Diceros bicornis minor: one gene and its partners. The protein of the gene in region 3 interacts with the protein of the main gene of each other region in a pairwise test. Links are inferred from orthologs where the notes say so. Each region holds a gene or a part of one and is shown on either strand. Other genes may lie near its edges.

Region 1 (10,637 bases), on a different chromosome or scaffold from region 3:
TCCTTGCAGTACATTGCCCTTTTCCTTGATTTCTTCTTGTCTTTTAATTATAATCCATTGTTTGGCCTGTTTCCCTGACAGCTCTGCAAAATGGGGGTTATTTCTTATAGGTCTTTGCATTTCCAGAGTTCCTAACACAGGCACTTAGTAAACACACACTACATTGAGAGTGGGAAGTTAGATGTGCTTTACCATCCTGAGATGGGACTGGAGGTCTATCTCCAGGTTCTGGTAGGTGCGTCTCAGCTCCTTTGTTTGAACCTCAGTTCCTTTTAACTCTTCAGTGCTCACTGTGACTTGTTGCTGCAGAGTTTCAATCTAGACACGTTCCAAAAATGAAAAATTAGATAAGGAAGGAAAAAAAGGAAGCAAGGAATGAAGAAAGAAAGAAAATGAGTTATCTCTTTTTGTAGGATGGCTTCTACACACTTACTTACCCTTTAGAATTATGCTATTACCTGTACGTCAAACTGTTCTTTGGCCTTCCGAAGGTTCTCCTGGGCCATGGCTTCATATTTCTGCCTCATTTCATTCATGATGGTGCCGAGGTTCAGGCCTGGAGCAGCATCCACCTCTACACTGACAGTATTGCCCAGCTGTCTGCGTAGGCTGTCCACTTCCTACGAGACAGAAAAATCCTGATTGGTTGTAGTCTGAAGCACATTCTCAGATAAGGCTGAGCAGAAAAGACACAATAAGTTTTATGGCTTCTTTGATTGGGAATGAGTAAAAAAGAAAGAAAATAATAACTTAGGTAGGGCTTATTGTAGTCCAGGTACTGCTCTAAGTCATTAACCCTGACAGCAACCTTAGGAAAAGAAGTTAGGGCTTATGTCATTATTGTTGTCATCGTCTTCACCATCACCACCACCACCAACTCTTCCTCCTCCTTCTCCTCCTTTTTATTATTATTAGAGCCATTCTATCATTCCCAATACCACTTCTGAATATTTTCTCACCTCCTGATGTTCTTTTTTGAGGAGAATCAGTTCCTTAGTTAATCCTTCAATTTGAATTTCCAAGTCTGTTTTTCGTAGGGTTAGATCATCCACGACCTTATTCAGGCCTTGGAGATCAGCCTCCACTGTTAGACGAATCGCTCTCTCAGTCTCATACCTGTGAATTAATAAGTATGCAGAGATCATTGAGTTCTTCTGAAGCCATTAGGGAAGTGATAATATTAATATAATGAGATAGAGTTTTATGTGATATACAAGGAGATCAATTTCATTACATTATTGTGTCCCCCTTTATACATTCCAAAAATATTCATGAGAACCTGGGAATCTGATAATTTGCTCCATAATGTAATCTCTGTGATTTGGAGTGATTGGCAAAAAAGCAACCTGAAATAACTTCTAAAAGTTCCTAAATTCTAGAATATATTTTAAAAGAAATAAAAAAATTTTTTCCTTTAATTACTGTGTTATCAAAGGGTTTTCATTATTGATATTAAATAATGGCTAGTTAGATCTACTTAATGAAGGTACATGATCAATTTATTTTTAGTATTTTGTAAACAGATGCATCCAAAGTGAATTATCTTAAAAATTCACACATTCTCCTCTATAATCTCATAAACTCCCATTTTTATTATAGTAGCTCACTTTAAAAAAATGATAATGCAATGGAACACTCAGATGCTGACTTAGCAAAATTGAAATTAATGAACATTTATTGCTTTAATCTTCAGATCTCCTTTCCCATTTCCTTCTTTTTGATTCCTTGTAGCATTAAAATGCTAAGCTTCTAAATCACAACAGACTTTTTAGTGCTGATGCATTGTACAAATTCAGGATGAGGAAGCCCTAGTGTAGAAGCACTTTATGAGGAACAGCTCTGGTCACAGGTAGTGTGAAATGACTACAAGAGAGTGAACGCATTTTGAACTGCTTTGATCCTAGTCCTAGTTCTTTGGTCAGTTAGAGTGTACTGTAAAACTCTGGCAAACTCGAAAGCATCCCTGGAACTTGGGTCATGCACTTGTAGGCACTTGAAGGAACATGGATGGCTCACTTGGAGAATCACTAAGGGTAGAGAGATGGCTCCTTTAGGTAGTAGAAGGGCACTTATGCAGACGGGGAGTTGTAAACTGCTTTGTTATTACTTCAAAGGGCAGAGTTAGCTTCAGTGAGTGAAAAGGTAGATGCCAGGTTACTAAAAAAGAAAGTTCTAGCAACCAGACCTAATCAAGGAAAACAGTAGTAGTTACTGGCGGTGTTCAGTTACATGCAGGGTGACCGGATTTTAGGATTGTGGGAGAGAGAAGTCCAGCCCTGAGTGCTGGGTTAGACCAGATATCTTCTAACACCTTTAAATTCCAAGATTCTGAAAATATTTAATGGTAGCTCCTTTACCAACAATAATATGGAAAGCTGAGTGTCATGAAGGACTACTAAAAAGAGTTCCTTTTCAGGAAGTTCTACCATGATATTAAAGAACCTACTTCAGCCTGAAGTCTTCGGCGGCCAGTTTAGCATTATCAATTTGCAGGACACGTTGAGCATTTTGTAGTCGAGCATCTTTAATCTGGAAAATACATGAGAAAAAAACGACAGTTTCAACTGGATAGAGCTTAAAATGATTGAGTTTATCCTCAGCTCCAACCACTATTATACGAAAGATGGTGTTCAAGAATTTCCACATGAAAGTAGAAAGGAGAAATAATGATATGGGTATTTAGCACAATAGAGTCATAAAATGCAACTCTAGTCCCCAGGGTTGGTCAGCTTTCTTGTGCTTTTACAAAAGGAGAATTTAATTCAACTTGAGCCATCAAAGCTTACTGAGTGCCCTGTCTTTGATGTTGTTCCTGCTTAGACCATTCCTCTGAGCCCCTCTCACTTGGTGAAGTCCTCCTCCTCCCCCTCCTCTTCCTTCCCCTCCTCCTCCATGTCTCAGCTTAGACATCATTGCTTTAAGGAAGCCGTCACTGATTTCCTCAAAACAGAACTGCCTGTGCTCTCATTGCCCTACACAGCCCTCCATGCTAGCATTTTCCCTCTGTGTGGGATAAATGTTGCCTTTGTCCATGCCTGTTTCCCCCTAAATCATATTATGTCCACCACCATATACTCCAGTGCCAGTGTGGTGCCAATACCTAGTTAGTGTCTGCTAAATATTGGCTGAATGAATGGGAACTTGCTATGTGGTGGGAGTTGTGCTGGGCACTGAGGCTATCAGGATGGATAAGTCCCTGATCTTAAGAAGTGGTTTTCAACTGGGTGAATTCTCTAAGATGCATGTGGATCAGAAGTCTGCTTGTAGAACATGTTACAATGACGTATCTCTTTCAGCAGATCCAGTTCTGGAGAGGGTTGCCTTCCTTCATATACTGAATCTGCCCAGCTAAATGGAACGGATGGCTGTGCCTATGTGTTTGGGGTGATCCAAAGTAGCTGCAGAAACGTGAATCGTGAGATAGGTGGGGGAGAATGGTTGGCTGATTTTGAATGTTTTTAGTGGGAGTCTGAGAAGAAGGACCTGTTGGCAGAAAGGGTGATTTAAACACCTTTGCCTCACACATCCGTAAGTGCCTGAAACCCCAAAGTAACTTCCTGTAGAATCTGAATTAAATCATACTGATGTCCGTTACAATGCCAGAAAAAGAGACTTACTGGTAAGTGAGTGGCCTTTGCTCTAAAGGAATACGAATGTTAAAATAGAAATGAAAACGAAAGGGACACTTTTTCTTGATTAGATAAGAATTTTAAAGCAGAGCAAGTGCTCAGTGTCATATCTGAAATCCTCAATGAGGAGCAAAGTCTTCTTCTTTTATTCCAGATAAGTGATAAAACAGAGAACTCCACCTTTCTTGGATGACATGGGAGCAGGTTCTGATATGATTGCAATAAATTTGAATTGGGGTAATTGAACATTTTATTACTGTAGAAGTGGTTTCCCAACTGCTTGGTGGTGATGATCAGGTTATTAAACAGGACATTTAAAGATCCGGGTATCGTTAGGACCTAAACCCCTTCCCTCCATTTCCTCCCTGAATCACTTTATCATGGAAATCTACGACACAGTATTCTAATACTTGTACTACGACATTTACATAAATAAAAGGAGGAAAATCTCTAAATTGGCTGGGGTTTCAAAAGTTCATTGGAACTAGGTGAAAAAATTTAAAAAGACATTATCACATACAAAAAATTTTAGCTCTTTTCAGAAAAAATATTTACTATCCACTTAGCCCTGAGCTGGTAAACTGCGAAAAAAATAGAGATTATAAGATTGGAGGATAAAATTTTCATATTTCCTATGTAATTAGATTTAAAAAATTTTAAGACAGTATGATTTACAAGTCATCCCACTGTGTAGTCAGGTACTCCAGCACTAAGGGTAGATGATAGAATATACCACTTTTATAGATGTAGCATTTCAGCCCAATTTGATTTACAACGTCCATTTGGACCACCTAACGTATATGCCCTCTTGATATATTATGCACCTAAACAATGGAGTAGAAAACACAGGCATCCTCTCTCACCTGATTTTGCAGGTCTTCGATTTGTTTGTAATACGCACTGTAGTCCCGACTGGTGGTAGGCGCGTTTGTTTCATACCACTGCTTGATCTGCCTTTCAAGGTTGAAGTTGGACTGCTCCAGGGACCGCACTTGTTCTAGGTAGCTTGCTAGCCGGTCATTTAGATTCTGCATGGCCATCTTCTCATTGCCAAAAAATGGGTCCCCTCGGGAGAGGTCGCTCCCATAGCTCACTGTGCCTTTGGAGGTCGAGATGCGGGTGCCATGGCCTCCAGCTCCCCCATAGACGCTGGGTGCAACCCCGAGGTGCTGTGTGCCCCCCCTCCTATACATGGAGCTCCTAATGCTGAGTGCAGGACCCTGCGAGGAGGAACTCAGGCTTCTTTGGAAGCTTTTGGCGCTGAATTCCATTGGGGATTCTAGGAGGGAGAAGCTGTAGCCTCAGGATGGATGGAGCCGGGCCTGTTTCTCTGCGGTGGATGAGCTGACCTTTTATAGAGTTCACAGGAAAAAAACTCCTCCTCCGTTGACCTTTCACCTTAGGGTTGACATCACAGTCCATCTTACTTTGCTCTTTTTTTTCCCCTTTGTACAGCGATCTGTTTAATTCCATTCCAGAAATTACCACTAGAGGCATTTCTTAGAAGCTTTGCTCAGGGGTGATTTCTTTTTTTAAACAGAGGTAAAAAAAAGGAAACAGGAAGGTGTATTCTTTTAGCCTGTGCACCTGCCTGGGCAGATTTTTTTTATCCTAATATACACATAATGAATATTTGCAATCTTTATGAATAATTTAGGTACCTAAAAAGACAGATGTGGGTGCAAAGTAGTAAGTCACACTGGCAATAAAGAACGTTTAAAAAAAAATTTTTTTTTTATCTTTCTTTTTTTGGTGAGAACATTTAAGTTCTGTTCTCTTAGTAAATTTCGATTATACAATACAATATTTTCGACTATAGTCACCATGTTTATTTTTATTGTTTTTTTTAGTGTAGTCGTTTTCTTCTTGTTTTATTAGTGTGTATAGAAACCACCCGGTTTCCATCTTATTTACAATAATCTGTCATAGGCTTGAGGACTGAGGTTGCTCCACTTTTCCCTTTTTTAGGTGAAACAGCCTCAGTTCTCTGCATAATTCCTGCTGGATCTAGTCTTCCACCTGTTGTGACTAGAACTGCATTCTTGGAAGTGTTCCCTGAACATCACGTGAAAAAGTATTCTGAGGAATTCTGTTCTGCTTGTTTACTGTGGCTACTCAGATCCTTTTTTTTTTTTATTGAGGTAACATTGGTTTATAATGTTATATAAATTTCAAGTGTACATAATTACATTTCAATTTCTGTGTAGATTACATCATGTTCACCACCCAAAGACTAATCATAATCCATCACCATACACATGTCCCTAATCACCCCTTTTGCCCTCCTCCCTCCCCCCTTCCCCTCTGGTAACCACCAATCCAATCTCTGTCTCAATGTGTTTGTTTGTTGTTGTTTTTATCTTCTATTTATGAGTGAGTTTATATGGTATTTGACTTTCTTCCTCTGACTTGTTTTGCTTGGCATAATGCCCTCAAGGTCCATCCCTGTGGTCAAAAATGGCAAGGTTTCATCCTTTTTAATGGGTGAGTAGTATTCCATTGTGTATATATACCACATCTTCTTTATCAATTCTTCCCTTGATGGGCACCCAGGTTGCTTCTAAGTCTTGGCTATTAGTCACCATGTTTAAATTAGATTCTCAGACCTTATTCATCTTACAGCTGAAAGTTTGTATCCTTTTACCAACCTCTCCCTATTTCCCCCACCCCCAGCCCCTGGACACCACTGTTTCTATGAGCTTGACTTTTTTTTAAGATTCCACATATAAGTCATACCATGCAGTATTTGTCTTTTTCTGTCTGGCTTATTTCACTTAGCAAAATGCCCTAAAGGTCCATTTATGTTGTTGCAAATGGCAGCATTTCCTTCTTTTTTTATGACTGAATAATGTTTCATTATATATGCAATACAGTCATGTGTCACTTAACAACAGGGATATGTTCTGAGAAATGTGTCATTAGGCGATTTCATCATTGTGCAAACAGGGTAGAGTGTACTTACACAAACCTATAGTAGGCCATAGTATGGCCTACTATACACCTAGGCTATATGGTACTAATCCTTGTCTATGTGGTCCGTCGATGACTGAAATGTCGTTACGTGGGACATGATTGTATATAAAACATCTTATTTATCCATCCATCCATTGATGGACACTTAGGTTGTTTCCCTACCTTGGCTCTTGTGAATAATGCTGCAGTGAACATAGGAGTGCAGGTATCACTTTGAGATAATGATTTCTTGTCCTTTAGATATATACCCAGAAGTGGGATTGCTGAATCATGTGGTAATTCTATTTTTTTTTTTTTTTTTTGCTGAGGAAGATTCACCCTGAGCTAACATCTGTGCCAATCTTCCTCTATTTTGCATGTGGGTTGCCGCCACAGCATAGCTACCAATGAGTGGTGTAGGTCTGTGGCTGGGAACCGAACCTGGGCGCCAAAGTGGAGTGCACCAATCTTAACCACTAGGCCATGGGGCTGGCCCTGGTAGTTCTATTTTTAATTTTTTGAGGATCCTCCATACTGTTTTGGAGAGTGGCTGCACCAACTTACCTTCCCATCAACAGTGCACCAGGGTTCCCTTTTCTCCACATCCTCACCAGCATTTATTATCTCTTGTCTTTTTGATGATAGCCATCCTAAAAGTTGTGAGGTGATATCACATTGTGGTTTTGATTTGCGTAAGAACAAGGGTTTATATGTATTGATAAATCACTCTTCTGATTCTCTGTTTTATGCTTTTTTTTTGGCTTTTAAGTTTATCCCTGTTTCGAGATTATATTTTATAAGACTATAAAAATATTTTGTACAAGCATAAAACCTTGAATATGTAAAACAGGAATGAAACATTTATACATTTGGAGACTTAGTTTGGGGAAGTGAATTAAGTGAATTTAGGTGAGTGGTGGATAGATGATTTTGAAGCTTTTTCCTAGTTCTAATCTTCTAAGACTAGATAATGCGTTTAACTTCTCAGTCACTGCCTGGCATTAGGTCTCATTCCCTAGAAACTTAGAATAATAGCATAGTGATTTGCACCTGACCTGGTGTGTGGAGGAGTCTCTCCCCTCTGTATAAGGTCAGCTCAACACCCACCGTGAGACGGACCCTGCTCCATCCATCCTGAAGCTACAGCTGCTCCCCACTAGAATCCCCAATGGATTTCACTGGCAGAAGCTTCCACTGTAGCCTGATCTTCCCCACAGGTCCCCACACTCACAGCGTGAGCAGAGCAGTTCCATGTATGGGCAGTGGGAGTGTGCAGTACCTTGGGGCTCCATCCAGCCTCCACGGTTGGACTGAAGCCCCTGCAAGTGTGTCAACCTCCGGATACTTGCTGAGCTCTGGGTGTGATCTCACCAGTGGGCATCTGATGAACACTGTTCAGCTGAACAGAATTTTTTCATTTGCTCCCCCTTATTCAAACTCCCTGGCCCAAAATTTTACACCTCCCCTGAAACATTTAAATTGTTTCCTTAATCAAGTTAAATGGAAAGGATTGGGAAAGTCACAGAAAACATCTCACTAATTCTCATCCTGATACTTTAATTGAATTGAGGTTTGTATATGATTAAAGCAAGCGAGTAAACAAAAAGACAAAAAAGGAAAATAAAACAAAAAACCTAAAAAAGGCGTATCCAAACTCCCTACACATTCTGAAGAACTGGCAATTTACTTGATTTAGTGGCCTATTTTTGTCATCATTGTTTTTCTTCCACTGAAAACCAATGGCTTTTTTACTTTTGACTATGAGTTGTTTTTTTTTCTTTTTTTCCCCCAATATCCCTCTTCTAAAATAAGGTAAGACTATATTATTTCCCTCTTATAAATAGTATGCTTTAAAATAATACTTTGTATTAGACTTTGCTTCAGTTATATTACAAAAGAAAAAATTGCCAGAGAGAGTTAATCCTACTTCACGCACTGTGTGGTATATGTGTGGACAGCTCTTACTTATATTTTTATCCACTCCTATATGCATCAGCCCACACCACCAGTGACTGAACATGTCATTAGCAGATCTTGCCATTTGTCACAGAGCTGTAAATTACTTTGCAAATAGATGTAACAGCTAAAATCTGCAGTGAAGAACTTTTTACAAGCACATGGACTGTGTTATTCTATATGTGTGTATTCACAAAATTAATGTATTTTTTGTTGTCATTTAGTGGAGGAGAAGCAGGTTGTTTGATTAAAGTCATTGGAAAATTGTATTGTTTAAATTACACAAGTTTTGCAGTGAGTTAGTTTCAGCTAAGAATTTCATACACTAACGCATATGACCACAGTGCGTAGAAGCATTATTTAAATCAAGAATTAGCTTTATAACTAGAAAGGAATATAAGTGTAGTTACTAAGCATGATAATTTTTGTTCTGTTTAGCACAATTCTTCCTTATGGCTGAACCCAATGACATTTAAGTGACAGAGTTAAACTCTCATTAAAATGGTTAAAATCAGGAGGCTGGCCTGGTGGCGTAGTGGTTAAGTTAGCACCCAGGGTTTGCAGGTTTGAATCCTGGGCACAGACCGACGCACCACTCATCAAGCCATGCTGTGGCGGCATCCCACATACAGAATAGAGGAAGATGGGCACAGATGTTAGCTCAGAGCCAATCTTCCTCACCAAAAAGAAAAAAAATGATTAAAATCATTTTTAATATTTTTGGAGAAATAACTTTTTTTTGGAGAAATTTTTTGGAGAAATAACTATGTGTTATTACACCATTTTTTGGCTAGTATTTGTAGCTTTTTGAGATTCCAAATTGAAAGTAAAATATAATACAGTAGGGATATCATGGTAGGGTTCAGTCATCCAAACTACTCATTTGTTGGAGTAGGAAAATTTTTACTGTGAAGACTTCCACATGCTTATGTAAGGGCGGGAGAATTTGCTGGCTCCTCTATCACGTTGAGTTTTACGCTTTGGTAGATTATTATATCTTATAATGTGACCACGAGAAATGCGGCTAGTATTTCATAGCAATTAATTTTTCTGAATTACACCTGAGGATTAGATACAGATCCTATTGACTCTTGTTCATGCACAAGTCATGTATTTAGAGCCCTTGATATTCCAGGCTGTTGGATGATTGCATCTGTAAATAAATATTTATTAGATCTCAACTTCCTTGTGGCTAATAGGAGGTGCATTTTGACCTCCAAGGCAGACTCTGCTGAGGTCATTAATGATTAGTATTAAGTATGGCCAGTAATTTGGAGAGTTGTCATAAACACTATAGTTTTCAGAGGACTTTCAACTTTTTTTTCCATTAAGGACAAGCTATTGCAGCCCAGATATGATACATACGGAATCTACAGTCTCTGGGGGGGTTGTCTTCCCCAGGCATCTCAGTTAGGATATGTTGCTTCCATTGGTTGAGAAGGATGGCATATAGGAACTGTGGTTATTTGTAGGCATTGTGGTTCTAGATACCACACAAAGTTAAGTCAGAAAAAATCATGGCCTCTGTGCTTTAAAAATTAGTGTACTTACTCAAATAGTTACAAGTGAAATGATATGATGTCTTCAATTTGCTTCAAAATAATATGAGGTGGAGAAGGAGGGTGGGAATATAGATAAGGGAAGATCAGCCATGAGTTATTTGTTGAAGCTGGGCACTGGGTTTGTGGGGATTCATTATACTATTTTAACTACTCTAGTATTTGTTTGAAAATTTATATAATGAAACGTTTTAAGATGCTGATGTAGTAAACTTACATTATTGTATTTTCACAATCTGGCGTATTTAGGTTTTGATTTGTATTTATTTGGTAATTACGCCCTGCTGTGCTTCAATAAGTTGGCAGATTTGTTGTCTCATAGTGGCTCAAACATAGTAGGCACTCACTATTGACTTGCCATATTAGTGATGAATGAGTGAATAAATAAAAGTGTGAGGCCCAACTTCAAGGAGAGAAGAAGCATTTGCCAGTGTGGGGAGTTTCTTCATGCCCATTGACTGCTGTTTCTGCTAGTCGTGTTAAGAAGTAAAAGAGTTGCAACCCAGGAGTTCAATTTCATGGAGTATGGCAGACTAGATAC
Region 2 (10,053 bases), on a different chromosome or scaffold from region 3:
ATGGAAGAGGTCGTGTGCAGCCGGGCCAGACACAACAAAGAATTCACAGATGAAAAGATATTCACGGCAGGAATTGTCCAGGAGGGCGTAGTGCTGGCTGCGGAAAAGGGCCTCAAATGGATACTAGAAGGGGAGGGGTAAAGAAGAGAGACAGAAGGGATGGACCCAACACTGACTCCTAGTGGCTATGGCTGGAAAATCAGCAAACCTGGGTCATGAGGGCTCAGGAGACCCTTCCCACCTAACCCAACTCCAGGCTGTGAAAGAGCATGCAGAATGGGTATTGAAGAGGTGGGGGAAGGGGCACAAGAGCCCATACTCACCTGCTGTTGCTACTCCTGCCTCCACCTCCACACCTGCCTCATGACATGTCACTCCCCTCAGCCAGCCTCTCCCCTCTGTCTGCCCGTAAGCCAATTGTCCCTACCCTTTCACATCACAGAACACCAAGGTGACTAGGGAAGGCCAGTCTGAGGTCTATGGGGACTGATCCAGAGGCCTGCAGGGTAGGAAGCTTTCCGTCACCCATGCTCAGAGTCCCCTCATGACTGAAGCTTGTTCCTCCTCCTACCCTCTGATCTCCCCGCTGGGCAGTGTGAGGCACCAGGATGGGGGCCTCCAGTTCAGTGGGAGAGATGACAGAGCCACGGGTCCCCAGGGTGAAGATGGTGTTCCTGCTGCGGAGGGATGGCTTCGAGAAGAATCGTGAAGGGTCAGAGTCAGGGAAAACAGTAAGATCATAATTGTGATGGAAGATCAAAGACTCAGTACCTCCAGGGACCCCAGGCAGCCAGACACAGCCTAGATGTCCCTCTTTCCCAGTACCAGGGTGCCACTGCACCTGACATCTGTGAATGGGCTTCAGACAGCCTCCATACTCCCTGACATGATATGCAAAATTATGTGTCAAGATAATATGTGCTTTCATCTAGGGAGAGAGGCCATAGCCTTTAACATATTCTTGAAGCTTTTGGTCCCACAGAAACAGGTAAGCAGCAGTGCCCTGGAGACTAGAGGCAGAAGCCCCCTCACTCTCTCGGCCTAGCATGAGGGTGCCTCAGCTCTAGGATATCTTTCTTTGCTGTGTCTTCCACGCCCATTAGATCATCCTTCTCAGCGACTTCCTCGTACTAGAGAAAACAAAACAGAGAACTGGTAAGCGTCTCTTCCCATGGTATTATAAAAAAATTTCTTTTTACATTGTCCCCCCTTGCCCAGCAGTGGCCCCTCTTCCCAGCCCAGGTGCCCAGGTGCCTCTGGCCTCACCTGCACCTTCATGAGCCGCCCCAGGTAAGAGCGGTAGTAAGACAGGTAGATCTTGCTCAGCGTCTCCACATATTCATCCCTCATCTCCTTTGCTGTGGCTCGCTCATTGCCCAGCAGGAACTGATAGAAGAACCTGGGGGGGCCAGGGACGAGTCAGTCTCCTTGCCTGCCCAAGAAACCAGACACCACAATGGGCTGCTCGCAGCTCAGAGGCCATCCCGAGCCCTTCCTTCGAGTGGCGACCTGTACTTCAGCAGGGCCGTCTGGGGGATCTGATAGTTGGTCATTGGTTTTCTGAAGGAATAAATCTTCTGAAGGATGAACTCTCGGATTTTCGTCACTGCCTAGACGTGAGGGACCAAACAAAGGCATGAACCTGCAACCTTCTTACCATTTGGGAGGCAGTGGGGGAAGTGACAAATGTTAAATATAGGAGGAGAAAGGGTGGAGAATCCCTATTCAGCATTTCTTAAGATTTTCAAGGGAACCCAGAGATGGGAAGTAAAGGCAGGGTGAAGTTCTTGGGGGCAAGCTACAATGAGCTCTGCCAGGGAAATCCAGGATGAAGGTCTCAGGGAAGCTAGTTCTAGTAGTTTCTAGAGTATCCAGTCCCACTCCCCACCTTGACCCGGAGCCGGTCGAGCACGCCTCTGACATCTGCGCAGGCAGCTGTGCCTCTGGCCTCCTGCTCCCGGACTGCGGCCGCCTTGGCATCCAGCTCCTGCAGCTGCTCCAGGAACCTGGGCTCTGTCACTGGCGCCTCCAGAATTGCCCTGAATAGCAGGAAAGGGTGAGCTGGGTTAGGAGGGAGACCCAGACATCCCTAGACTCCAAACCATACCCCCTACATCCAGCCTGTCTCCTCTTCCCATCTTACACTGTATCACACAGTCAGGACATGGGTACAAAGTTTTCTGTTCCTGAACCACCCCCCCATAAGCCTTGGACCCCCTCACTACATGCCTGACCCTGGTGATTCCTAATCTTTGATGCCTAAAGCATGCATCAGTGTTAGAAAGAGTTGTCAACCCACTCATCAGTTTCTGGAAGGCACTTGATGACCTGGAGCCAGGAGACCCATGTGGTAAGTAGGGCAGGCCACCCCAGCCCATCTACCTGCCATAGATATTGTGGCCCTTCAAACTGGTGACTCACGTGACCAGAGCGGAGGGCACCACCAGACCATCGACAAGCTCCCCAAGTTTCCCCCGAACTGCCTGGCGGTTTCGAAGCCGAATGTTCATGGCTCCTGACTGTTCCTGCAGTGTCCGGATCTCAGAGCTGATGGAGCTGAGGTCACTCTGAAAAGCTCCCAACATCTGCTCCATGCGCTGCAGGAGGGCAGGAGATGTTGCTGGAGGGCCACAGGGTTGGTAGGGGACAAGTGGGCCACCTAAGTTTCTTCGTTAAGTCTCCAGTATCTATTAGTCCATGAGGGCAGTGGGTGATGAGGGAGGAGGTACCCCAAAGGTCACCGGCAAATAACATTAGTTACGGTAGTAACAATAAAAAAGTCTATTGAGGTCATCCTGAAAGTGACTCTAACTGTCCCCCCTGAGGCTGGAGACCCAGAGAATGGCACCAGAGACCATGATCTGGGTTCAGGTTCAGGGTTATTGGGGGTCCCAGGTCATGGTTACTAACCTCAAGGACAGCATCGCAGGCTGTGATCTGGTTGTGCAGCGAGGCTATGTTCTCACTCTCTTGGATATCTGACCCACAAAAAGTCAAGGGGCCTCACTGTGAAGATGGAGATGCTCAGACCCACACAACCTCTCCACTTTCTCCCTGAGGTGACAGAAACCTCCGAGAGAAGATGCCAGCCCCATGGGCTGTCAGCACCACATCCCACAAAATCCGTTTTAATAACACCCCCCTTTTCCTCTGCTGGAGGATACAATCTCGAATGGATTTCTGCTCAATCTGCTGAAGCTCCAGCTCAACCTGCTTTGAATAGTGACGGAGATCCACACCCTGGGAGAATGTAAACACGACAGGTCAGGAGGAAGTCACAGTGAAGGGAAACTAGAACAGAAATGACGAAGGACTAGAGGGGAAGACACCAAGGTGACATTATAAGAGCAAGAGACAGTTTTCTTTTTCTTTTCTTTGAGGGGAGGGTAGGTGGAGGGAATTAGTGGGAGATTAGTATAGTGGAAAGCCTCACCGTTTTAAGAGCTTCCTTCACTAACTCATCCTCCAGATTCGCCTGAATGTGAACTGGAAATAGAAGTAAATCATAAGGGTCCAGCTCCACAGCTCCCTCTCCCTTCACTGAACATCTGCACACCATCGCTGCCTTTTACTTCCAGCCCCCACGCCTCTCAGATTATAGGCGCTGCATCCACCCTGTGCCATCCCTTACCGTCCACTTCATCCAGGATGAATTCATCGGAGGTGATGTCCAACTCTCCGAGTTGCAATGGCTCCTGAAGACCAGGACCACCCCCCTGGAGGGGGACAGGTTAAAGGGAGAGAATACATGGAGGAGAGAAAACAAAATATAATGGGATAATCCCCAATCCTTCGCGGCGGGGCTTTTACAGGATGCCATAGGCACCGAGTCAAAAAATTCTAAGAGTCTCACATTGTACCGAATCTACTCCTTGGGGTTGATGGGTAGGGAATATGACAAGGAGACAGGCAACCCACAAAGAGTGTGGAGGTGTCCAGATGAGGAAAATTAGGAGATGCAGAGGACAGAGCAGAGCTTGCAGTTGAATTTAGCATCCCCAGACTCCTGCTATCTTAGGTGTTCTATCATAATCCCTCTGGGGAGCCCTAGCCTTTCTCGAAACGTCAGCTAACACATAGTGTTTACCTGCATGCCCGGTGCCATCTTCCAAATACTCACTCATCTAATCCTAACCGACACCCTATATGGTAGCTCTTATTTTCTTCACCTTACAGGTGTGGAAAGCGATGGCACAGAAAGTCTGGTTAACTCGGCCAAGGACACAGTGTGTAAGCGCAGAGCAGGCATTAGAACCCAGGCCGTCTGGCTCCAGAGGGCATGTTCTAAACCTTTATACTACACTGCTTGTCTGTTCTCCCCCCAAATCTGGAGGTTAATTGAAATTGCTCCCTCGGATCCTCAGTCTCGGCCATTCTGGTCCCCGCTCAGGCTCCGGTCCGATGACAGGGAGAGGTATGGGGAGCCAATCCAGGCATCATCACGGTAGCAACCGAGCTCCCAACTTGTCCCACACCCAGCCCAGGCCCTTCTGACGCGAGGACGACCGGCCGAGACTCCGGAGGGGAACCGCCCCGCGTTCTCACCAGTGGGCCCTCCTCCTCCTCCATATCCGAGGCCCCGGCCCGCAGCACCAGCTCCCGGGCGGCGGCCGCCATCGTCGCGGCGGCGGCCATTCCGCGCAGCCTCACTTCCGGCAGCTGTCAGTCCGGCGGGTCGCTTCCCGGGACAGGAACTACAAGTCCTGGGGCGTCTTGCACAGCGCAAAATCGTTCCCAGATAGTTGAGTTTAATTGTTTGACTCCAGCTTCCCCCTTTCGGTTCTAACCACTTCATCCGAGTGCAAATGGGAATGGGAAGTCTTAAACACAATCTCACGCCGGAACCTTTGCTGCTCTCACAGCCAAGATCTTGACGAACTGTAACGAGAGAACGCACCGGAAGTTGTGGCTCCCAATTCAGACTCGCAGAAGTCGCGTTTGCTCGCGCACAAGCAGTTTCCGGAAGCGCTGCACCAAGATCGCTCCGCCTCTTCCGCCTGGTCACTATATAATGCTTTTACGTCACTTCCGTTCTCTCTTCCACAGGAGGCCTACACGCCGCTGCTAGGTCTGCCGCCATGGTAAGACTGGAATCCGTGCGGGGATCCGGCGACATCGGAACCGGGGCTGGGAAGGTCTGCTATCGGGGGGCCGAGAACGGCCCGTTCTGGGGGTCTGCAGCTTTCTGCGCGAAGCCTTGGATCGTGCCCCTGGGAAGGGACGCCTAAAGACGTCCAGTTTTGGGAGTGGGGCCAGAGGAAGAGTCCGTCCACGGGCGCTCGGAAGCCGCGAAAAGTTTGGGCGTGTATGGGGACCTCCGGCCTCCGCCGTTCAGAGTACTTTTGGGATCGGGCAGGAGACTTGCCCCTTCCCAGAGGTTGCATTTTCCCCAGCCTGAGCACTTCGTGATCCTGCTGTCTGCAGGACTGCAGTTGGCTATGTTGTGAAAACCTGAAGGGCAGTCGTGGCCCCTAGTGTGACAAGCGTAACGCTCCTGTTTGAGGTTACGGTTTGGTGGTAGTTCACGGTGTCTGATTTCTCCCCAAATTTCTGTCAGTCTCTAGTGATCCCTGAGAAGTTCCAGCACATTTTGCGAGTACTCAACACCAACATCGATGGGCGGCGGAAAATAGCCTTTGCCATCACTGCCATTAAGGTAAAGCAGGGTAAGAACTAGACAATATAAGTGAAACGGGTTGTTAGGACCTAAGTCTTAGTGAGGCAGGGTAGAGGAAACATAAGTCCCAACCAGATCCCCTCGGCTACTGGGTTAAAAAAAAAAAGAGACTGGATGAGTGAGTGATTAAATCCCTTAAACCCATACCACGTTTACCCTAAAAGGTAAGTATGAAAGCCAGGGAATAGTCTCAGGTCAAGCCAAAATATTCCACCTAGGAGATGGGGAGTAGATTTGGTGTTCTACCTGAATTTGCTAAAATTTTCCTGGACCATGAGCCATCAATCAGCTTGTGAGGTCCATTGTAGATTTCTGCCCCGCCCCCCATCACACCCGTAATCCTTTCTGTGAAATTTATATGCCCTGGAAATTGAATAATTGTACATTTTGAGGGGTGAGTAGAAATGCCAACAGATTCCAAGTGTGAAGAAACGTATATTTGGGAGGTGAGAGGGGGGTCACTAAATCAGGAGCAGGATGTTGACTCAGATGCCAGAGGTGCAAGTCGTACCCGTTTCAGAAACAGGAACTAGTACTTGGCTTGTTGCATGAATTAAGTTGGTTGAGTGCAAGGTTGGATCTCCCTTCACCAACCTAGTGAACTCCTGGTCTTCCAGATGGAGACATTATTCTATCTACCCCCCCTAAATAGGTGTGATTAGTTGTGGAAATGGTTGAACGTCTTCCTCTCCTACCAGTGGGGGTGGGGATCGGCTTGTCTTGTGAAGAATCCCCAACGTCTGGTGCATGATAGGTGCTCATGCAGTGTTAGGGAGTGGATGTTACTAGGGATACTGTGGCCTGGTTTCAAAGAATTTAGAGGAAACCATGATAAATATTTTATAGATAAGTTAATTTAAAACTAAATCCCAGCTTTGACTTACAACATTAATTAGATTTTCTTAATTTTTCATTCTATACTGCAGGAAGCATAGCTTTCATTTGTTTTGTGTGTGTGTGAGATCAGCCCTGTGCTAACGTCTGCCAATCCTCCTTTTTTATGCTGAGGAAGACTCGCCCTGGCTTAACATCCGTGCCCATCTTCCTCCACCTTATATGGGATGCTGCCGCAGCATGGCTTGCCGAGCAGTGTGTTGGTGCGTGCCCGGGATCCGAACCGGCGAACCCTGGGCCGCAGGAATGGAGCGCACGCACTTAATCGCTTGAGCCACTGGGCTGGCCCTTTTCATTTGCTCTTAAATGGTGTATAAGGAGATTGCGTCCTTCTGTAATTCTGAAACTAGTAAGGCCATGGAAAGTACAGTACCTTTTTCAAGGGTTGCTGTGAGGCCTAAGTGAGATAGTGAATCTAAAAGATGAGCATAGTTAATAGGATGCTTCTGTTAAGTCCTTTCTCTCTACCTCTTTGAAATTAACTGGTTTTGTATTTGTTAGTTTAATTAAACGTCATAACCTCTGTAGTGAGCTTAAAACAATTTTGTCAGAGCAGTTTCAGGTACTTAATGAGCACTGTGATAAGAAGACTCTTGGGATCCTGATGCCCTGCTTTTCACTGGGAAAGGTTATTCCTAGAGATAGATGAGTACTGAGGTTTTTGCTGGTTACCTGGAGAGCCAGCAACTGCAGCAAGCTCTTCCTCTGGTGAGAGAACTAAAGTGTAGAGGTGGTCTTTTGTTAAGGATGTGGTATGGGAGATAATACTTGGAAATTGGAAGAAAGTTGGGGGTGGTGGCTGAGTGTGGGGAGGGGATTCCTGAAAAGATGTGATTAAAGAAGTGGTAAGCAAGGTTAATTGGCCAGGGAAGGGTGAAGAATGGAGTGGAAGTTGACCCAAGCAGAAGAGGGCGTTTTGTAGAGGTAATACAGATCCTGCAAGATTATTTTATGCCGTGATCTCTTCCTCATTGTTTTGTTTCCACTTAGAGGCTTTGCTATGAGTATTCTTTAAGGCTGGCTGGTCTTCTGCCCTTTCTCTAAATCAGGGTAGTAACTGCCATCTGTGGATTATTTGGAAACATGGGAGGAGGGGCTTGGAGTTGGTCACAATGACTGGAACATCATACCTGCTGGCCTTGTTTATAAGGAATTCTTGTCCTGCCAAAGTGCCAGTGCCCCCATGAGTAACAGTGCTCTAAATACTCCAAGAGTAATATTAAGTTGGTATCAACTCTACTGTTATATGTTCCAGACCCTTGGACTATGAAGATGAGAAAGTGATGGTTCCCTGTAGTGCACTCTTCTGGATGGAGAGAACAGGAGTGTTCTTGGGGCAGAGAACAGTGGATCTGGGGATCTAACTTAGGAAATTGTCCAGCCAATCTCTGGAGTCAGTAAACAGGACTTTCAAAATCTTAGTTTGACAGCAACTTTTAAAACAGTTGCTGGTGGAAAATTTGAAACATTCAAGAGTAGAGGGAAGAGAATTATTGGCACCATGGATGTATCATCTAGCTAAAAATTAGAAATCTTGTTTCATCTACACCCTTCCCCATCCACTCGTTTTAAAGGATGTATTTCTGACATAGTATTGCTTCTGTAAATATTTAAATTTGAGAGAGACTTAGACCCTAATCTTTTCTGAATCTACCTCCTGATAATTTGATTTCCTAGGTCACATTCTTATTTCTAGGAAGTACCATCTGTTTTAGTTTACTGGGGCTCTTAGAACAAGTTACCGTAGACTTGTTAGCTTAAAACAACAGAAACTTGTTCTCTCAGTGCTGGAGGCCACACATCGCAAGTCAAGGTGTGAGCAGGGCCATGCTGCTCTGAAGGCTCGAGGAATCCATCTCACCTCTTCTCTGGCGGCTGCCAGCACTCCTTGGTGTCCTTGTCTTGGAGCTGCATCACTCCAGTCTCTTGCCTCTGTTACCACGTGGCCTTCTCTTTGTGTCTTGTGTGTCCTCTCGTTTTATTGTAAGGACACTGGATTTAGGGTACACTCTAATCCAGTACGACCTCATTTTAACTAATTATATTTGTAAAGATTCTATTTCCAAACAAGTTCACATTCTGAGTTTCCGGGTGGACATATATAGGGGGTTAGGGACACTTAAACCCAGCACACCATCCTTCACTGTCCAAATCTCTTTGGTTCATGAGTTCGGTGGCAAAGAGTAACAGTGTTGGTGTCGATACGATGCCACTAGTGTAAGCATTAGTTTCCTTTGAGTTTGATTTGGGCAGTTAGCTTCCAAGGGCCTGGTCATCTCCAGGCACTAACAAAATCGTTTGTGATCTTGGAGAACTTGGATCCTGGGGATGTGGTGATCTGACCAAAGAATCATGAGGCTTAAAGACCCTGAGCCATTGACAATCCTACCCCTTGCTCAACCCTGTTAAAAGGGTTGCTGCTTTGATGCTGCATCAGCTTCGAGAGCCAGGCCCTTTGTCCTCCAGCAGGAAATTGAAAGGTACCCCTCTTCTGTGCTGCTGCAGTGTCTAGCAGCTAGCATTTATTGACAACTGCGTATGCTGGGCATTGTGAAAAAAAGAAAAGATTCTGCTTTCAAGGGGCTATCAGCTATCCTCTGTTCATGGTCCAGCCCTGCCCCTGAACAAAACTTTTTCTCCTTTCTGTGTAATGGTTAGGCTTCATATCTGGGAAAGTGGGCGGGGCAGGGGCAATCCGGAAAGTATAAAGCACTAGGTTATTGCAGGCCCTACCTTTCTATGCTTTTGATTGGAGTAGGGGCTATAAAGGAAATCAGAATCAAACCCAATTCCAAAACCTCTCCTCAGGGCGTGGGGCGAAGATATGCTCACGTGGTGTTGAGGAAAGCAGACATCGACCTCACCAAGAGGGCAGGAGAGCTCACTGAGGATGAGGTGAGACAAGGAAGGGGGTGTGGGTTGGGCCTACCTCGGAAGGGGGGCATCTGGATCTGACCCTTCTCTTGCCTGCCAGGTGGAACGTGTGATCACCATTATGCAGAATCCACGCCAGTACAAGATCCCAGACTGGTTCTTGAACAGACAGAAGGATGTGAAGGATGGAAAATACAGCCAGGTGTGTATTGAGATGGGAGACGTTAGAGAAATGGAAGGCGGGGTGTCCAGCTGGAATTGGGCAGTCATAGGAGGTCAGGGGGTAAAACACATCTCTCACTTTCTCTTCCAAATCCAGGTCCTGGCCAATGGTCTGGACAATAAGCTCCGTGAAGACCTGGAGCGACTGAAGAAGATTCGGGCCCACAGAGGGCTGCGCCACTTCTGGGGGTGAGTAGGGGTGGGGAGTCTCATCCTGCCTGCCCGCCCCTAAGACTCAGAGATTTCTCTGGCTCCATTTTCTCTCCCCACCTTTTCTTTGTGTTGTATATGACCTGTGACCCTTTTCTTTTCTCACCTGCAGACTTCGTGTCCGAGGCCAGCACACCAAGACCACAGGCCGCCGTGGCCGCACTGTGGGTGTGTCT
Region 3 (10,067 bases):
ATAGGAGAATTCCAGCTAATAAGTGTGAATGGAATGAAAGAATTTAAAAAGAAGTCCTTAGGGGCTGGCCCCGTGGCATAGCGGTTAACTGCATGCGCTGCGCTGCTGGTGGCCTGGCTTCGGATCTGGGGTGCGCACCGACACACCGCTTGTCAGGCCACGCTGTGGCGGCATCCCACATAAAGTGGAGGAAAATAGGCACGGATGTTAGCTCAGGGCCAGCCTTCCTCAGCAAAAAGAGGAGGACTGGCATGGATGTTAGCTCAGGGCTGATCTTCCTCACAAAAAAAAAGTCCTTAAGTAATGATCTTCAGTGGATGAATCTGTTAATTCACATTCTGATGGGGAACCTGACAAAGGAGGGCCCTGGCTGGCCCATCAGAACCCACTGAACAATCTTCCATCACTAAAAGTAAGATGTCCACACTTGGTTTCTCCTGTGAGGCAACACGAAGTTCCGAGTACCCACCTATGAAAAATTCCTGTTAGAGAAGTTGAACCTGAATTGGATCAAGCTTCTAGAGCTAAGTTCCACTTTATTTACAGGAACTCAGGGGATAAAGGAGCAACTTAAATGCCACCAGAAAGCTACAAAGTGGGGCATCCTACAGGACAACTGATTTGCAATAAGTCACTGTCATAGGAAAAAGAGGGGCAGGAAGAGGAAGACTATTTTGAAGTAAAAGGAAAAAAAAGTCGTAACAACCCAATATAATAAATGGACCTCATTTGGACTCTGATTTGACCAAACTGACATTTTTAAACAATGCGGGAAATCTGACTGCAGACTGGGTATTACAGACTATCAAGTGATTAGTGTTCCTTCTGTGAAGTGTGATGATGGCACCGTGCGTTTTCATATTTTGGGAGGACGCATACTGAAGCACACGGGCGAGACAAGATGGTACCCGGGACTCGGGCCAGGAGCTCGGGATCCACCACTGGAACATGAAGCCTCTCCTATTACTCTACATCTTACCTGAAGAGGCTGGTTGGGACCTGACTCCCCACTAAACAGACGCGCAAAAGGCTCTGAGAGAAGTTGGACAGGAATTAAGCCACCCACCTGCCCCTGCACCCCAAACCCCACACCAGGTGGCCTGCTGACCTTCTGAGGCAGGGAAGGTGCGAGGAGAAGGGGGAGAACTGACCAGTTCAGCATACTTCTTGCACAGAGCTGCCAGCTTCTCCTCTGGGGTACTCAGCGTGTTCAACGTCTGCATCAGCAACGTGATCTCCTTCCCTGCAAAGCACAGGGAGCAAAGGCATGTACCTCCTTCTCTGGAGGTCCCCTCCAGGCCTGGGCCCACCATCTTCCACCCGAGGCAGCCCTCCCTTATCATACTTGATATTTCTGTTTGTTGAACTGGCTGCCTTTGCTGCTAGACTGTGTGCTCCACGAGGGCTGGGACCAACTCATTTCTGCCCGTTACTATAGCCCCAGTACTGCCTCTAGCGCCCACCCCAGAGGACAGGCTCAGCAAATGCTTATGAAATGAATGACTGAATCTCTGTGGAATCTCCTTGGTGAGCACCAGGACTGGAAGAAAAAAAACTGCCTGCTCTACCAACAGATGAAAGAAAGGTGTCCCACCAGTGAATGCAGGGCTACTGTTTCAATATAAGGAAGGTCCTTCTGAAAGAGGAAGGATGCAAAAACGAACAGGTCTCCTTGAGAACTACTAGACTCGTCAACACAGGCAGCCAAACAGTGAACTTTAACATGAGTATACCTTCCAATATTTGATGCTAAGGTGAAAAAACAACAACAAAAACCACCCTCTTTAAATTAGAATGGCAGGTAGAGGTGGGGGAGTAGGAACTAAGACATGGGCATAATATCACCTAACTTTGATTCTTTAACATACACTAGCCTGAGTCCAATTTTCCCACTGTCACCTGGAGGGCCGGCGTACAGAGTACAGCACGAGGCTCCTGAAGGGTCAACCCTGGGAGGCTCCGAGATCAGGGTGGAGACTGGAAATCGCTGGCACACAAGCCAAATCCAACCCACAGATGGGTTTTGTTTGGCTCCCAGCATATGAGTTGCCAAATGTTAGAATTCTGGACATTTCATGTAACCCTAGATTTCTGGCTTTTTTTTTTTTTTAATTTTATTTATTTATTTTCTCCCCCAAAGCCCTAGTAGATAGTTGTATGTCATAGCTGCACATCCTTCTAGTTGCTGTATGTGGGACGCAGCCTCAGCATGGCCGGAGAAGCGGTACGTCGGTGTGCGCCCGGGATCCGAATCCGGGCCGCCAGCAGCAGAGCGCGCGCACTTAACCGCTAAGCCACGGGGCCGGCCCATGGCTTTTCTTAAAAAAAAACAAAAAGGAAAAGCTGGCTACACTTAGCCTGTGGTTTTACATGCAACGTTCTGGGACCAGGCGGCAGTCAACCCTTTGGATGAAGTAGGTACTCTCTTGGTCCTCATGGGGCCCCCCAGCTAGCTTGGCTCATTTGAGTTTTCAACCCTGGTCTAGGCCAATTCTCTTACTGTAGAGAAACAAACATTAAGGACTAGAGAGAAGAAAGGTCTTGCCCAAGGTCACAGAGCAGGTTAGAAATGGTGCTGGCTGACACAGGAGCCCACTCAGGTCTCCTGCTCTCCACTTTGTCAGAGAGCGTAAGTTGGATTTCAGTTCCTACTTGCTCCCAAGGCCAGAAGCCCTTGCACAGTGAACAACCTGCACACTTCTATGCAATGGCCCCAAAGCACTGGCTTTGATTAAACTAGCGGGACTCTCTGCTCTGGGAAGCAGGATTTCCTCTGAATCCTGGCAGAGCAGGCTAGCCCAAGGAATGTCAGGTCCAAACTTCTCCCCCTCAGCACCCTCACAAGCAGCCGCCCTCTGCTCACCCAGACCCTTGGCTTTCTTCTTCTCTTGTGGCCTTCGGTGGTCTCGGTCTCCGACTTCGTCACCTGCCCGGATCTCATCTGTGCCTGGCTCCCCCTTGGAGGTCTCCTTCTCACCATTGACTACTGGGGTCTCTGGCTCAGGCTCCCCATTCCTCGAAGCATAGGTCCGGGACTTCTCTGCATCTTCAGGCTCAGCAGGCTCACCTTGTGCCCCGTCCTCACCTGGGGCCCCCTGATTGTTGTCCACACAGTAGGTACTCAGGATGTCTTCCAACTGGCGGCTCAGCTCCTCAGACACATCACGGAGGGCCCCGGACTGAGCAGTTTTGGCTTGTGCTCCTACACCAGGAGAGGAGGAGGAGCAGAGTGAGAAATAAGATGGTTATACCAATGGTTGGCGTTTTTCAGGTCCAAACTTACTAGTTTGGGTGAGATGTTGCCTAACATCTTTAAGCCTCAGTTTATTTACCTATAAAATGATATAATTATTTCTCACTGCTGCCCGATTGTGTTTGAGTATAAAAGAAATCAAGTAAGTAAAGCATCCAACATAGGGATGGCATGTAGCAGTTCAACGTCTAGTCCCTGCCCTTCTCCTCCCTGCAAAACTCATTTCTTACTATTAAAAAAGTTCCAGAAATGCCTCAAATATGAACAGCAGTTACCCACTGGTGAATAAGGTGTTTCTAACCTGGATTTGCTGGCTAGGTGTCTCATCTGACTGCTCCCTGATTTAATCCTGTCAGAGCCTTCTCTCAAGACAGTTCTGTTCCTGTGCTTAGGGTGGGGGCTCTACCCACTCCCCAGGAAACGGTGGGGACCGCACAGACTCAGCAATGTCCTCTTCTCATTCTACATTTCCTCCTTCCTGGGTAAACAGTGGCCCTGCCCTCTAACTCCAGAAGCTAGACTGGCGAATCACAAACTCCTCCCCCTGCCCGCTGGAAAAGCAGAGCTGGCACACACCCTCAGTCTTCCCTGGAGCCTGGCTGGTGGAACTTTCAGCTTCTGTCGCAGGAGCCGACTGGCCGGGCCTCCCCTGGGCTCCCTCCGGTCCTGCTTCCGGTTGCCCTGGGGTGCTTTTTGGGTTGGAAGTGTTGCCCGATTGCTTGGCAGCCCCATTCTTTTTGTCTTGGTTCTTCATTGTGGTTTGCAATGCTAGGTTAGGAGCAGATCCTATAGAAACAAGCACACTTGCTATTTTCCAGACTAAGAAATTCTTCGTAGCCTGGATCAGAAATCTCAACACTGGGCGCACAAAGCTTCTTAAAACAAACTGGCCGGCCTTCCCCGGAGGGAGCCAACGGTTCCCCCTGTCTCTAGCCAGTCACAGGAGCCTGGTGTGCCCAGGCAGGTTTTCCGGGCGCTGCTCCGGGAGCGAGGAAGGAGAGGCCTCCTTTTTCCCGAAACCACTTCCCGGGGACAACACGGGCCCTCACGCAGGCCTACCGCGGGACAGGCTCAGGGACCGAGACTGACGTGGCGAGACGCTCCATCGCCGGTCCCTCCCCGCCCCCTAGGCCCCACGTGGGGCCCCCAGCGCGCGCCCGCGCGCAGCCACCCACACCCCGCGCGCCCTCCAGCCGCGCGCTCCGCCCGCGCATGCGCACAGGTCTCAGCCCTGCCCCCCGGCCCGAGCTCTCGCGCAGAATCGGCGTGTTTCCCCGCACTGGCCGAAAGGGTTCAGGTCCACAGACCGTCTGATCGCCTCGTCCCTCTAGCCGCCGTGGTACCCACCTCAACGCCAACGTCCCGACGGCTTCGCCCGCTCTGGCCTCGCACCGGAAACCCTGGGTAACCGCTGCCGGCAGAGCCGCCTGCTCCCGCCGCAGCCAATCAATAGCCGGCGCTCTCGCGAGGCTTGCTGGGAAAGATGAAGCGAAGGCAGCCTCTGAGGCCGGTGAGTTGGGAAGGCGGGGGAGGGAGAGGACTACAAGTCCCTCCATGCACTGGGGCTGACCCCAACTCCCAAGATGCAGTAGGAAGGGGTTTAGTCTTGGAGCCCGATACCCAGGAGGTCCGAAAGAAGCAGGTCATTTTGCACAAACATCAACGTCAACCTCGTTTCCATTACGCGGAAGCTGTGATTCAGCTCTCAAAGCCTTGCCCCTGGCTGTTCTTTCTTACATGCCTCCACCCTTTCTGCGAACATCTATGACTATCTAGGAACTCTGAGGACAAGGGATAGAATACTGGGGCTGGGAATCAGGAGATTTGTATTCCAGTCCTAACTTCATCACTAATTTGCTGTGTGACCAGGCATTTTTTTCTTTTTAACAATTTTTATTTATTTATTTATTTTTCCCCATAGCCCCAGTAGATAGTTGTATAAGTTGCACATCCTTCTAGTTGCTGTATGTGGGACACTGCCGCAGCATGGCCAGAGAAGTGGTGCGTCGGTGCGGGCCCAGGATCCGAAGCCCAGGCCGCCAGCAGCGGAGTGCGAGCACTTAACCTCTAAGCCACAGGCTGGCCCCTGGCATTTTTTTTTTTTATCCGAGGGCATCAATATCCGTATTCAAATAGAAGCGTTTAATAACAATAGCAGTTCTTTGAGCGCTTACAGTGTGCTTTCTCAGTGTCTACTAGCTTAATCCTCATAACTAAGTACTATTTGTTATTCCCATTTTATAGCCAAGGACCGTAAGGCAAAGGTTAGATAACTTGTCCAAGGTCACATCGTTATTGAATGGTTAGAGCAGAGATTCGAGACCAGGAAGTCTGGCACCAGCACCCATCTTTAACTACTAGACTACCCTGCCTCTTACCCAGAAGAAATAACCACCATGGGACGCTTTCCCTGACGATGACTTGTGACTTGTGAAAGTAGGTTATATTTTTTCCCCTCTCCATTACCAGCTTGAGTCCCTCTTTGGAAAGGGTAAGGGGGCCCTGTAAGGGGAATTTTGGCCTCAGCAGATTCCTGAGCCTTTTCTTTGACTGGCTCATTCTCTACAAAGTCTCAGTTGCACTGGGGCTAAAGGGGAAAAAAGCCAAACTTTTCTCCGCAAGTGATATCACAATTCTTTATCCAGTTGCCTAGAGGTAATGGAAAAAAAACCGACAACTCTTGCACATGGAATTTAATGTCTACATGGTTTGGCTTCTGTTTCTAGCCGATCCTGCCCATCCCCTCTGCCTTTTTTGCTCCAATTATACTTTTATTTCCAGGATTTCCTAGGTTTTTGCAGGTGCTATTCCACCTTCCAAAACGGCCTTCTGGCAAAAACAAAATCTTTTGAAGTCCAGGTCAAAGGTCACTTCAGAGCCTTCCCAGTGCTCTGCAGTCTGTCCTGGCTCCCTAAGTCTGGATAGAGGTCTTATTACAGCATTAGTAACAAGGTGTTGAAATTACTTGCTTTACAAGTCAATGACATTGCGAGAACAACAATGACATTGGCTAAATTCTCTAGTCCTAAAGCCTAGCATCATTCTGGAGGCAGAGAGTTTTAAATTGTTGTGCAAATTGGGCATTGTTTTAGGGCTCTTAAGATGTTAAGTATTTTCCCCAGTTAGAGACTTCAGGGCAGTTCTCTTCCACATCCCTTAGGCAGCAAGAGTTTGCATTTTCCAGGTAACATTGAGAGGCAATATGGTATAATAGTATAATGGTCAAACTCAAGCTCTGAAAGGTTTGGAATCCAGGTCTCACGAAACCAAGTCCCTGCTTATTTCCAGAGAAGCACGTTGGAAATTTCTTGAGAAGGTAACATATAAATCAAGCCTTGATGGATTTTCATGGGAAGAGGATGTTCTAGGCAGAGATAAAGAACATAATAAGCAAGAACAAGGTATGCATGGGGTGAAGGGTGGAGTGGTGTATCAGGATCATCAGTGGCCTACAGGGGCCACCTGGGTAATGAGTAGAGCAGGCAGGCAAGGAATAAGAAAATTTGATAGAAACATGGGTTAAAAAGTTACTTTCTCCTTTGCTGTAAAAGAGAATATCACCAATATTAGCATCTGCCAGAGTCAGTCAGGGAGACCATTGAGAATGGCGGTGATTGTGGTAAAATGGAGCTCTTGCAGATTGTTTTCAAGCAGAAACTCAGGCCCAGCAGTGCCAGATATTTTTCAAGATAGATATATCTTTATTTTTTTAAATGTTGGCAACAAATTAAACCTTAAACACACTCTATCAGCCAACCAAAACCCTCCTTTTGGGTTGAACCAACTTTTTGTCTGTAATCTCTGCTTTAGGAACTGATCTAAAATGAAGTGGGTAGTTGTGAACTGTATGACCTCAATGGGCTCAAAGGGCTGTGGAATGGTGCTGATGAAATGATGTCAAAATCCTTTAGAGAAACTCTAGAAAATATGCCAACTAAACTATAGTGACAAAATGCAGATGCGTGGTTGCTGGGGGTCGGGCAGGAAGGAGGGATTCCAAAGGGGCATGTGGAAACTTCTAGAGGTGATGGATATGTTCACTATCTTGATTGTATATGCCAAAACTTATCAAATTGTACATTTTAAATATGTGCCATTTACTCTATGTCAATTATATTACAATAAAGGTGATTTAAAAAGATTCTCTATAGCAGGAGCAGGCTGTTGCAATTCTTAATTCCACTGTTAGGCCACAAGTTTAAACACCCTCTCCTCATTCGCTTCCACAAAATCTAGGATCATTCCAAAGAAGACGATTTAGAACTTTGCAACAGGTTTTTATTTTTGCTTTATATCTATTACAGTGTTTGAAACCTAAAGAAATACATTTTCTCTTCAAATTTGGATGTGTATATAAATATCATTTGTCTGGACTCAGCACACTCAATGCCATGGTTTCTTGGCCTATGTCTGCTCTGAAATAATCAAGCTTTGTCTGTCTACCCAGGGGCCCTGAGAACATGGAAAACAGCCAGTTTACAGTTCTTGGAAAACTAAAAGCAAATGAATTTGGAAAGAAAAACCAGTAAGGAAAAGGGTTCGATTCACCTTCCTTAGGTTTGTAGCTGGGAACCCAAGCTGTTTCTGAGGGACAGCCAGTCTGTCTTGGGTGGCTAAGACCTCACAGCCCCTTCACTTCTTTAGTGGTTCAATCAAAGGCAGTTCCCACAAAAGCTGGCCAATACCTAACTCCAGGGCCTGAAGGTTCTTGTAGAGGTGGGCTCTTTAAGGCCATCTTGTGAGTCAGAGGTTCCTAGCCAGTCTCAGGCTCTAAGCTTTGACTTCCTTCACTGCCCCCAGGGCATGGCCAAGTTTTCTCTCCCCAAACCCAGGGGCTGAAAATCTGACCTACACAGGGGAGCAGGGCTAGTGTTTAGCAGAAGGGTTCAGGTATGTGCTAACGCAGACGTCAGCAGTTAGGCTTGCCCAGAAGTAGCGAGGTAGGCCCAAAGCCACTGAAGACCTTTATAACACACTACACAAACCTTTCTCCCAGGGTGTTCTGGGCCCAAAATTTAACACTGCTTCTTCTAACTCTCATACCCAGTTTTGGTTCTGCACATAGCCCAGGCCTGATGCAAAATGCCCTCTGAGAGGAAAATAACAGCTTTAATTCACAGACTTGGTTGGTATTGACCTCAAATTCTTCATTTGCCGTGGTCTTAAATCTGGGGGTGGGGCTAGGGGCTAGACAATGGGATGACTGAATCATTTAGGAAGGCCTTGGTCAAAGAGCAGCTAGTGCCTACCATATGGATCTCCGCAGAGCCAAATTCTCAGCTTGTTGGCTTAACAACAGAATCCAAAAGTTAAGACAAGAAAAAATACTGGACAAGATTGGTCTAGAATGTGCAATCCTAAAACGGCTGTGGAAGAAACCCACTCTGGGCAATTTTTCACTCTCACACTCACTTTTTGGATAGTCCTACCTGGAAGATGTTGCTACTGGTTATGAGCGTTTCCTCAGTTCAGTGCACTGAGCCTTGCACCCTTCCCCAGCCTGCCAGAGAGGCAGATAGTCATACACATTCCTGAGGCCCCCAACCAGCCTGTTTTCCCTACGTATCCCTGTAGTGCCTGCAGGGACCTGGAGAACCTGACTCCCTGCCTTCAACTGAGAATCCAGAATCTCACCCCACAAGATGAATCTACTGAGGAATACCCAAAATGATGGATACCAAGCTGAGTCTCACTGAGAAGAGATGTGGCCTGAACAAATGAGCTGAGGCCTTCAAAGAGGGGCATGTGGGATGAGGAAGTATTCCCAGGCATTCATCTCCTTCCCTTCTAGTTTGCTAGAAACAGGGGTAACTCTAGGATGTAGAAAGAAGGCAGTAGACTTGAGAAATGGAAATCCAGTTCATTCTGATAGACCATTTTCATTTTAAACTGGTTTGGCTTGAAAGAAATAGCAAGTCAGTGCCTGAGAGCCTTCCTTGCTCTTCCTTAGCTAAGTACAGAAGCAGTTATAATCTGTGCAGTTCAGTTCCAAAAAACAGGGCTCCTGGAAAGTGGCTTCTACAGCAAAGAGAGAAGGAGTAGATCTAAGAGTTCTAGGAAAAGGGGGAACATCAAGGGTCGGGTCCCTGAAAGCTGAGATCATTAATGCCTGCTTCTTAAAAGGGTCATTTGTACCCACTACCCCAAGTGACCAGGCTGGCCAGATGAGGGTGGAACCCTATGGTTCAACCAGAAGGTTGCAGCCAACACCAAGGCTAGGCAGTCACTGGGGACAGCTCAGAATTGAAGGCAGGCTTCTAAGACCAGAGACCTTGTTAGTACTAGAAAAGATGATTTTGGGGTGGGATGTCCAGAGGGGCTGGCAATAAATAGCTGGCACTGTTCAAAACAGTATTTGAACACACTAGTTAAGAAGTAGGCTCCTTGTTCCCTTAATCCACACCTAGATACTTCCACCTCCACCAAAGATCTTAAAATGGATATACCAGCCATATTGCAAACATATGAAGATTCCAAAAACATGTCTTATCAGGCTATTCCCTACACCAGGCCGGGGAGCCCTTCCATCTCTGCAACGTCCATTCAGAAATCTACCAGAAAGCCTTTGACCTCTCCTAGGCCAGGGTCTAGAGTCCAGATGGGAGCTGCCCACAAAGAGTGGCTGTCAAGCCTGGGCTAAAGAAATAATATTTTGCTTTCCAAGAAAGCCGAGAGAGAAGACAAGACACAAAAGATGATGTTACTGCCTCTATGGGCTGTAAGAACTTTGCCTGTTGACTAAAAAGGAGTTAGAGGACGATTATGGGAAAACATGGTCTAAGGAAGACACTAACAAAGGAAAGCTCCTAGAGGC

Evidence for each region.
Region 1: the proteins of TXLNA (region 3) and keratin, type I cytoskeletal 20-like interact in binary tests that used the Homo sapiens proteins (3 or more experiments, as listed by UniProt). The two-hybrid records come from large-scale screens. The link is inferred for Diceros bicornis minor from reciprocal best matches to the Homo sapiens genes TXLNA and KRT20.
Region 2: the proteins of TXLNA (region 3) and VPS52 interact in binary tests that used the Homo sapiens proteins (3 or more experiments, as listed by UniProt). The two-hybrid records come from large-scale screens. The link is inferred for Diceros bicornis minor from reciprocal best matches to the Homo sapiens genes TXLNA and VPS52.

The regions. Positions count from the first base shown.
Region 1 is NC_080757.1:40,303,552-40,314,188, forward strand, and holds the start of keratin, type I cytoskeletal 20-like, read right to left. Parts: upstream 4,901-10,637; coding exon 4,493-4,900; intron 2,530-4,492; coding exon 2,447-2,529; intron 1,117-2,446; coding exon 960-1,116; intron 621-959; coding exon 459-620; intron 319-458; coding exon 193-318; intron 1-192. UniProt on the Homo sapiens protein: Plays a significant role in maintaining keratin filament organization in intestinal epithelia. When phosphorylated, plays a role in the secretion of mucin in the small intestine.
Region 2 is NC_080753.1:31,184,070-31,194,122, reverse strand, and holds the start of VPS52 (vacuolar protein sorting-associated protein 52 homolog), read right to left. Parts: upstream 4,901-10,053; 5' UTR 4,636-4,900; coding exon 4,546-4,635; intron 3,717-4,545; coding exon 3,632-3,716; intron 3,487-3,631; coding exon 3,434-3,486; intron 3,241-3,433; coding exon 3,165-3,240; intron 2,979-3,164; coding exon 2,911-2,978; intron 2,598-2,910; coding exon 2,422-2,597; intron 2,040-2,421; coding exon 1,889-2,039; intron 1,611-1,888; coding exon 1,510-1,610; intron 1,400-1,509; coding exon 1,267-1,399; intron 1,131-1,266; coding exon 1,073-1,130; intron 706-1,072; coding exon 572-705; intron 124-571; coding exon 1-123. Other genes in the region: RPS18 (small ribosomal subunit protein uS13), read left to right, coding at 5,079-5,135, 5,558-5,656, 9,380-9,466, 9,546-9,647, 9,765-9,856, 9,990-10,053. UniProt on the Homo sapiens protein: Acts as a component of the GARP complex that is involved in retrograde transport from early and late endosomes to the trans-Golgi network (TGN).
Region 3 is NC_080752.1:46,972,087-46,982,153, reverse strand, and holds the start of TXLNA (alpha-taxilin), read right to left. Parts: upstream 4,703-10,067; 5' UTR 4,601-4,702; intron 4,306-4,600; exon of another isoform or gene 4,040-4,305; 5' UTR 4,008-4,039; coding exon 3,830-4,007; intron 3,203-3,829; coding exon 2,864-3,202; intron 1,244-2,863; coding exon 1,152-1,243; intron 1-1,151. UniProt on the Homo sapiens protein: May be involved in intracellular vesicle traffic and potentially in calcium-dependent exocytosis in neuroendocrine cells.